Linked DNA regions of Bombyx mori. The protein of the gene in region 1 purifies or fractionates together with the protein of each later gene. This does not show direct contact. Links are inferred from orthologs where the notes say so. Each region holds a gene or a part of one and is shown on either strand. Other genes may lie near its edges. The genes, in order: gamma-tubulin complex component 2 and gamma-tubulin complex component 3 homolog.

Region 1 (3,834 bases):
CAAAGTCATTATTTTTAAAGTTATACTGGTCTTAAGGATGTCACCTAGTGTTCTTGTCAATAGTGGAACAATTGTAAAAGTTGAAATATTGAATTGTAACAGGCGCATAATTCTTGCGTACAAATGCACTTAACATAAATTTCAATTATTAAATTAAAAAAGGATATTTTTGGATTACCCTCGTAGAGAGATCAGCATGCGGCCCACCTGATGGTTAGTGGTTAACGTCGCCCATGCAATTCAGTAATACCAGGAGAGAGCCAAGCTGCCTACCGTTAAATACTCTCCACAAGCCTCGTTTGAATTACGATGCTAGAATAATTTTATGTAATTCAAAGCAAACCCGAAACAAGTAATTACTTCTATTATTACTTGTGAGACAGCCCATTGTGGGCTTGCACACTTAAGTTCCACTATCTTACTATGTCTACCACGGACCAGTCACACATTCTGGTTTTAAGTATGAAACAGCCATTATGCAGTAAAATAAGATATTTATGACCTTAAGCTTCAATCTTTCATGTTGTTATGCAATGGACTCTGATAAAAATTAACTTTTAACAAAGTTTGTTGTGATAATTATAAAATAGTAGTTTGGTATAGAAATAAAATAACGAACTTAATTACAGACTATGATCGCGCAACTGGAGACGGAACATATGACGGGAAGTTTGTCATTACAGAAATTATGGTATTTTGTGCTACCCACAATGCACACTATGCAAGTTCTTGCCGCTATAGTTACGAAAATTGGAAAAGTAAGTACGACTGTAATATGAATTTGATTCATCGTTTGCATTTTTGTGATCATGGTGTTTATTTATCAACGATATTTTTCTATTTCATAGTCGACTAGCGACCCGCCCTCGCTTCGCTTCGGAAACTGTAATTTATTATTGATTTCTCCACTATTTAATGGATGGTATTATACATATAAACCTTCCTCTTCTATCTCTCTATCTTTTAAAAAAAACCGCATTAAAATCCGTTGCGTAGTTTTAAAGATTTAAGCATACATATGGATATAGGGACAGAGAAAGCGACTTTGTTTTATACTATCTAGTGATAAAGTACGAACAGATTTAAACGCTATTTTCGCCATAACTAGACAAAAGCTAATTGCCAGAAAAGACAAAAATTGCATAACGGAAATTAAAAAATTTCCATGAAAGCGTAAATAAGTATAATTCAAATCATAACTGCGAATAGTGAAAGTCCAATCCTTTTTTTTTCCGTAATCTTTGATAGCCTAAGAGGCTATCCAACTACGCGCCGACGAGTAAGTGAGCTCACAGGCTCAACTAGAGAGAATTACCAACATCAGCCCTAGCAGGAGCAGTGCTACGCTGAATCTACTGTCAGAGCGGAATCGTGTCTTACTGAGAAGATCCGGCGAAAAACTTGGTGGAATAATGCAACATTTACATTAACTCTGGTATTGCAGAGGTTCGGGGGTGCTAGAAACCCCTTTCTATTAAATAGTCCGCATACAGTCTCGACTGTAAAGGGAAAACAGTATTTGATATCTTATTTATAAAAATGAATTTTTGTTCCTCATAGATGCAATCGCGCATTTTTGTGAAATTTTCTCGAAACTTGCTACAATTGTTGTTTTCCACTTTAAGAAAAAACAAATTATCACTAAGATTGATTTTAACAAATACATATTTATCACATTTAGTGATGGTAAAAGATTCCGCGAAGAACTGCTCTTGCTAGGGTTAGTGTTAGCGAATTCTCTCAGGTTGAGCCCACCTACTGAGGTGAGCTCCCCTACCCGTCTGGGCGTAGCTGAAATTGAATATCAACGAATAGGTAGAGGAAGAGATGGTGAAAGTAGATAATGGTTTAGTAAATGAAAAAACTTCTACCAAATATTAAAGGTGCTAGGTTTTATTAGAAAATAAATCATCTATCATAAATCATATATATAAATCTACAGTGGTTTTTACGGATGTTCCGTTATAACTACTAAACCATGCATCCGATTGACTTGAAACTTGGTATCTATGTAGAAAATACATGTACTTAATGGATAGGCTAATATTTATATGAGTGATGAACTCCTTACACCAATTGCGGGGGCGTTAATGATGAGAATCTTTGTGAGGGTGAGAAATAATAATGTTAATTTTAACTGCCCAAAGGACGGGCACAGCTAGTATTATATAAATTCATTGTTTGATATTTGTTTTAATTAAATTATGAATGTGAGAGAAAAATAAGAATATTTTTTTTTTTTAAATCCATTTAAATCTCACAAGTACCTATGAATTTCTACTTAATATCCACAGAGTGAGCTCCGTGGTGGAGCAGTTCTGACAGTACTGCATGACAAAACCAACACATTAATGGGCGACGCACGTGCACAGGAGATATCATTGTTCTTAACAGAACGCGCTTGCCGGCCCTACCTCAACGTCCTGGATCAGTGGATACATAAAGGAACCATTGTCGATCCATTTCAGGTACATACATTTACTAGATTTATTTATGTTCATTTAAGAAAAGAATTATCTGGCTCTTCTGTAATTTCCTTTGCTGTAAGTGACAGATTTATTATCAAAAATAAATATTTTAAAATAAAAATAAATAGTAGCTAAATAGTTACTAGGGGTAGGGCATACTGTGAGCAGCACATCATCACTATTCTGTTGGTTGTTTTGTTGTTCTGTTGATTGTCTTGTTGTCCTGTTGATTGGTTAGTCGTTATATACCATTGAGTCTGTGACCTGTCTCAAGATAAGCAACCGCATTCAGAAGAAGTCAGAAGTCGTCGTAGCCTAAAGGATAAGACGTTCGGTGCATTCGTATCTAGCGATGCAACGGTGTTCGAATCCCGCAGGCGGGTACCAATTTAATTCTACTGAAATACGTACTTAACAAATGTTCATGATTGATTTTCACGGTGAAGAAAGACATCGTGTAATAAAAATCAAACTCGCCAGATTATAATTTATGTAATTACTGTTGGTAACACGTCTTGAGAGTCCGAACGGGTAGGTACCACCATTCTGCCTGTTTCTGCCGTGAGGCAGTAATGCGTTTCGATTTGAAGAGTGGGTCAGCCGTTGTAACTATACTGCGACCTTAGAACTCATATCTCAAGGTGGGTGGCGGCATATTCGTTGTAAATGTCTATGGGCTCCAGTAACCACTTAACACCAGGTGGGCTCGGAGCTCGTCCACCCATCTAAGCATTAAATAAAAAATATAAAAAAATCATATTGTGATGGACAAACCCAACAATAGCAAAAGAAAAAAAAACTAACAAAAGAATTACAATTAATTTTACCAGGAGTTTATGATAGAAGATAACGAGCTAATTAATAAAGAAGAGCTGCCTGTAGATTATTCTGCTGATTATTGGGAGAAGAGATATTGTATACAAAGCGACAGAGTACCGAAATTTCTCGATAAGTTCACTGACATTATTCTTCGAACTGGAAAATATTTGAACGTTATCAGTCAGTGTGGTAAGTTTTAAATTTTGATAAAAAAAGGTTAAATGCTTTTATTTGATCATGTGACAGATAACCTTTGATAATGTTACACCTGAGATATCAATCTTTAATTAAATCCCAATTTATAGATAATGAAGTTCAATGACATCAAAGACAAAATAAGGTCAGCTATCTATTATTTCAGCTTATCACAATTGGTTCTACTATTTTATAGATATCTATGCGATCGTCATAAGATGAAATTTCAATAAATAATTAAACTAAATAAGTCTGGTTATAATCTATGCTCTAAAAAGTTTTGTATTTTTGGTACATAATAAAAAGTTTATTGAAAGGAAAGAACGCCTTAAGAAGTTTCACTTCAAAAAGC
Region 2 (3,834 bases), on another chromosome or scaffold:
ATTAGATAAATTTTATTTCATTACATTTAATTTCACATAATAATATGAGTTGTTTTTCAAGTGAAACGTAAGTAGGTATTTGTTCAGGATGATGGTAAAATTTTAATTCGGGTTAAAGATATTCTTTATTCTCAAAAGAATTACATAAATTCACTTAAATGAGAACATTAAAATAGTTATAATTAATTCAGATCGTGCAGTACATGACAATAATTTATAGTAACAACATGCAACATTAATTGGAAATATCTACCGTCAAAATTTTACTCGTATCTAACAATGTAATAAATAGAGATTAGTATAGTATAAATTGCAAAATAATAATAGATTTTAGTGATATACCAAAATCAAGCTCTATTTCTATGTTGTTCGATGGAGTGATAAAAAATGCAACTACATAATAATATTATAACGGCATTGTTATTTGCATTACTTGTAGATTATTGCTTATAAACCTATAAAACTGTGTACGCTACAGATGTTTGTTTCTTAATTACTATATATAGCAATATACCAATCATATTTGTTTCAACCAATCGTAATCACAAAGCCTAAGCTCAAATATCGTATAGATATAAATTATTTAATGCCAAATTGAATGCCATTGGAAGTGCAGAACATAATAAAAGCAGTAGTACTGAGCGGGTCCACGTGCGTGCAGAGGGTGCGGGCGCGTGGTGGGAGGCGGCCGGGCTGGGCGGCGCCGTGCGGGGCGCGCACGACGCGGCGGCACGGCGCCTGGTGGCGGCGCTGTGCTCGCGACACCACCTACTCGATCATCTCGCGGCACATCGACGCTACCTGCTGCTCGCGCAAGGGGACTTCGTGCATCATCTCATGACGCTGTTGCAGTAAGACACACTCTTACCCCTTGGCCACAGCCGAGAGCGGTGCGAATTGCGGTGCGTCGTGAGGCGCGGCAAGCGGGAGCGGCGAAAACAAATAGTAGACAACCTATGAAGTATGCCACAGCTACTGGCGGTGCGTTTTGCGGTGCGTTGCGAGGCGCGGTGAGAGGCGCGTGACATCTGGCGGCGACGAGCTGCACGATGTGCGAGTGAAACAAATGTACTAGACAATATCGAGGCGGCCACAGTTCAGAGCGGCGCGCGCGGCGGTGTCGGTGGACGCATTGAGGCATCGCGCGACCGAAACAAATCATTTTGTTTTTACCGCGCGTTGAGCTAATAAAATGTAATGGATGTGGAACAATTCATTAGTGAAATACTGAGTAGACCAGAAATATGGATGACAAAACATTCACATCATAAATATAGGCATGTTATAAAAAAAATGTGGCACGAAATAAAATAATTTTCTGGTACTAATGGTTTTATAGATACTCTTGGATAGGATTATTGAAATAAAATTTGAAATTTGAATTGATTTCGTATTCTAGATGCTTGAACCGTTGCTCGATTATTCCGTCTTGATCTGCGTACGCTATTGTGAATATTGGAGTCTCCAAACTGGGAAACAAACTGCTGAAAATCTGCATCTCTGTGTCCATCTCTTTCTCTTAAGGCACGAAACCTTTATAATCAATGTCGCGTGCTTTTTGTTTGCCTTTACACTTTTCGTAAAAATACGAAACTTATTAGTTAGAATACCAAACGCGTACTGAATTGTGACACTTGCCCGGAATAATGTTTTGTCGAAAATTATTTATTCCGCATTTAAACCACCCGGTGGATATGGGCGCATCAAATAATTTTTAAGAGGATAGGCTTCATCACCAATTAACACGTATGGTAATTTGAGATTTGAACCTGGTAATCTCTGTGAAGGTTGAATCTATTAATAATCTATTTATCGGGATAGTTCTTATATTCCTAATATTCCTAATATAATACCTAGTAAATAGGGTGAAATTCGCCAAGTTCTCTCTTTTTCTAACTGGGTGCGCTCCTATTCTTGATTGAATAATATCTTCAGCTAAGAACGCACTTATTTCAACTTTTGAAAGGTAAATTTGATAGGGATTTCTAAATACGTGCACGTCTGACGCCGCCGCCGTCGCAACTAGTCTAGCTGTGGCATACCCCCGAAATAGCGCCGCTCGCCGCGCCTCGCAACGCACCGCAAAACGCACCGCCAGTAGCTGTGGCCAGGCCCTTACAATTCAGAGCTGTTATTCAGTTATAGTCAGACAATTTAACTGTTTTTTAATTTTTAAATAAACTTACTACTAATTGAATAAGAACTGTCTGATGAACTCATCTTTGTTTAATACTTCAGTATTAACTTTTATTGCTTTTTGTTTATTTCACTTTTACACTAAACACAATATTGCAAATTACCCGAGCACAACAATGGCGGAAAATTTTAGGTGCGTGAGAGCAGACGGAGACACTAACGCGCATGCGCACTTGTCAGTAGTACCCAGGGAGGAAAACCGAACTTTCGGCGTAGGTAGGTGAAAAAATATGTTGTTCCTAACCCAAGTTTATTTTCGTAGGGAAGAACTGAACAAGCCCGCCACGTCCCTATACGTACACAACCTGACGTGTACGTTGGAGGCGGCCGTGCGTGCTACCAACGCGCAGTACGAGCCGTCTCACGTGCTCGCTAGATTGCACGTTAATTTGTATCCCAACTGTAAGTACATATTAAGTCCACATGCAATTTCAAAGTTTAAGAAAGTTTTCACAAAAGTCGTTAATGATTCTTTAAAGGTCATTTATATTATGTTTAATTTATTCGATGCTAATTTTAGTGGGGGCCAGAGAGCTCATAGTTTGAAATAGGAGAATGTGTTTTGCGGCCCCATGGGTCATAGCTTATCATGCGTTCCGGTTTGAAACCGAATTTAGTCGACAATACCTTATCTTTATTTCCTTGCCTATTCCCTGGTAGCCTAAGAGGGAATAGCCTGTACGCTATGCCCGGATGGGTAAGTGAGCTCACGGGCTCAACCTGAGAGAATTTGCTAAACTAGCCCTAGCAAGAGCAGTGGTTCCCTTCGAATCTACCACCGACCCATTGAGAAGCTCCGACGAGAAACTCTATAGGCTGATCTCTACTAATATATAAATCTACAGCGGTTTTATGGATGTTCCGTTATAACTACTGAACCATGCATCCGATTGACTTGAAACTTGGTATCCATGTAGAAAATACATGTACTTAATGGATAGGGGAATATTTATATGAGTGTTGGACTCTGCAACGGTTGCGGGGACGTTAATGACGAGAATCTTTGTGGGAGTGAGAAATGATAATATTAATTTTAAATGCCCAACGAAGCGGACGGATATAGCTAGTACCTTTACTAGTGATAGGACCTCTTATGAGTCCGCGCGGGTAGGTACCACCGCCCTGCCTATTTCTGCCGTGAAGCAGTAATGCGTTTCGGTATGAAGGGTAGGGCAGCCGCTGTAACTATACTGAGATCTTAGAACTTATATCTCAAGGTGGGTGGCGCATTTACGTTGTAGATGTCTATGGGCTCGAGTAACCACTTAACACCAGGTGGGCTGTGAGTTCGTCCGCCCAACTAAGCAATAAAAAAAAATTTGCTGGTTGAGTCGTTACGTACATGGGCAGGCGACGGGCGCGAGGACAGCGGCTGGGACGTGTTCGCGCTGCAGTACCGCGTGGACGGGCCGCTGGGCACGCTGTTCCCGGCCACGTGCGCCGCGCGCTACCGGGCCCTGTTCACGCAGCTCTGGCGCGTCAAGCGCATCGAGTACAGTCTGCACGACGCCTGGCGCGAACACACCATACTGCACAAGCGACTCAAACACATGCCCGGTCAGTTTCACGTTCTGTGTATACAGCGAATGTACTCTTTTTTTTTTTCAGTTTGGCAATTAGCTTCTAGCGATGGCATTG

Evidence for each region.
Region 2: the proteins of gamma-tubulin complex component 2 (region 1) and gamma-tubulin complex component 3 homolog fractionate together in Drosophila melanogaster (co-fractionation; 3 studies listed by BioGRID). This does not show direct contact. The link is inferred for Bombyx mori from reciprocal best matches to the Drosophila melanogaster genes Grip84 and Grip91.

What each region holds. Positions count from the first base shown.
Region 1 is NC_085119.1:10,557,296-10,561,129, forward strand, and holds part of gamma-tubulin complex component 2, read left to right. Parts: intron 1-629; coding exon 630-758; intron 759-2,294; coding exon 2,295-2,468; intron 2,469-3,298; coding exon 3,299-3,476; intron 3,477-3,834.
Region 2 is NC_085121.1:10,749,305-10,753,138, reverse strand, and holds part of gamma-tubulin complex component 3 homolog, read left to right. Parts: intron 1-661; coding exon 662-851; intron 852-2,458; coding exon 2,459-2,598; intron 2,599-3,546; coding exon 3,547-3,753; intron 3,754-3,834.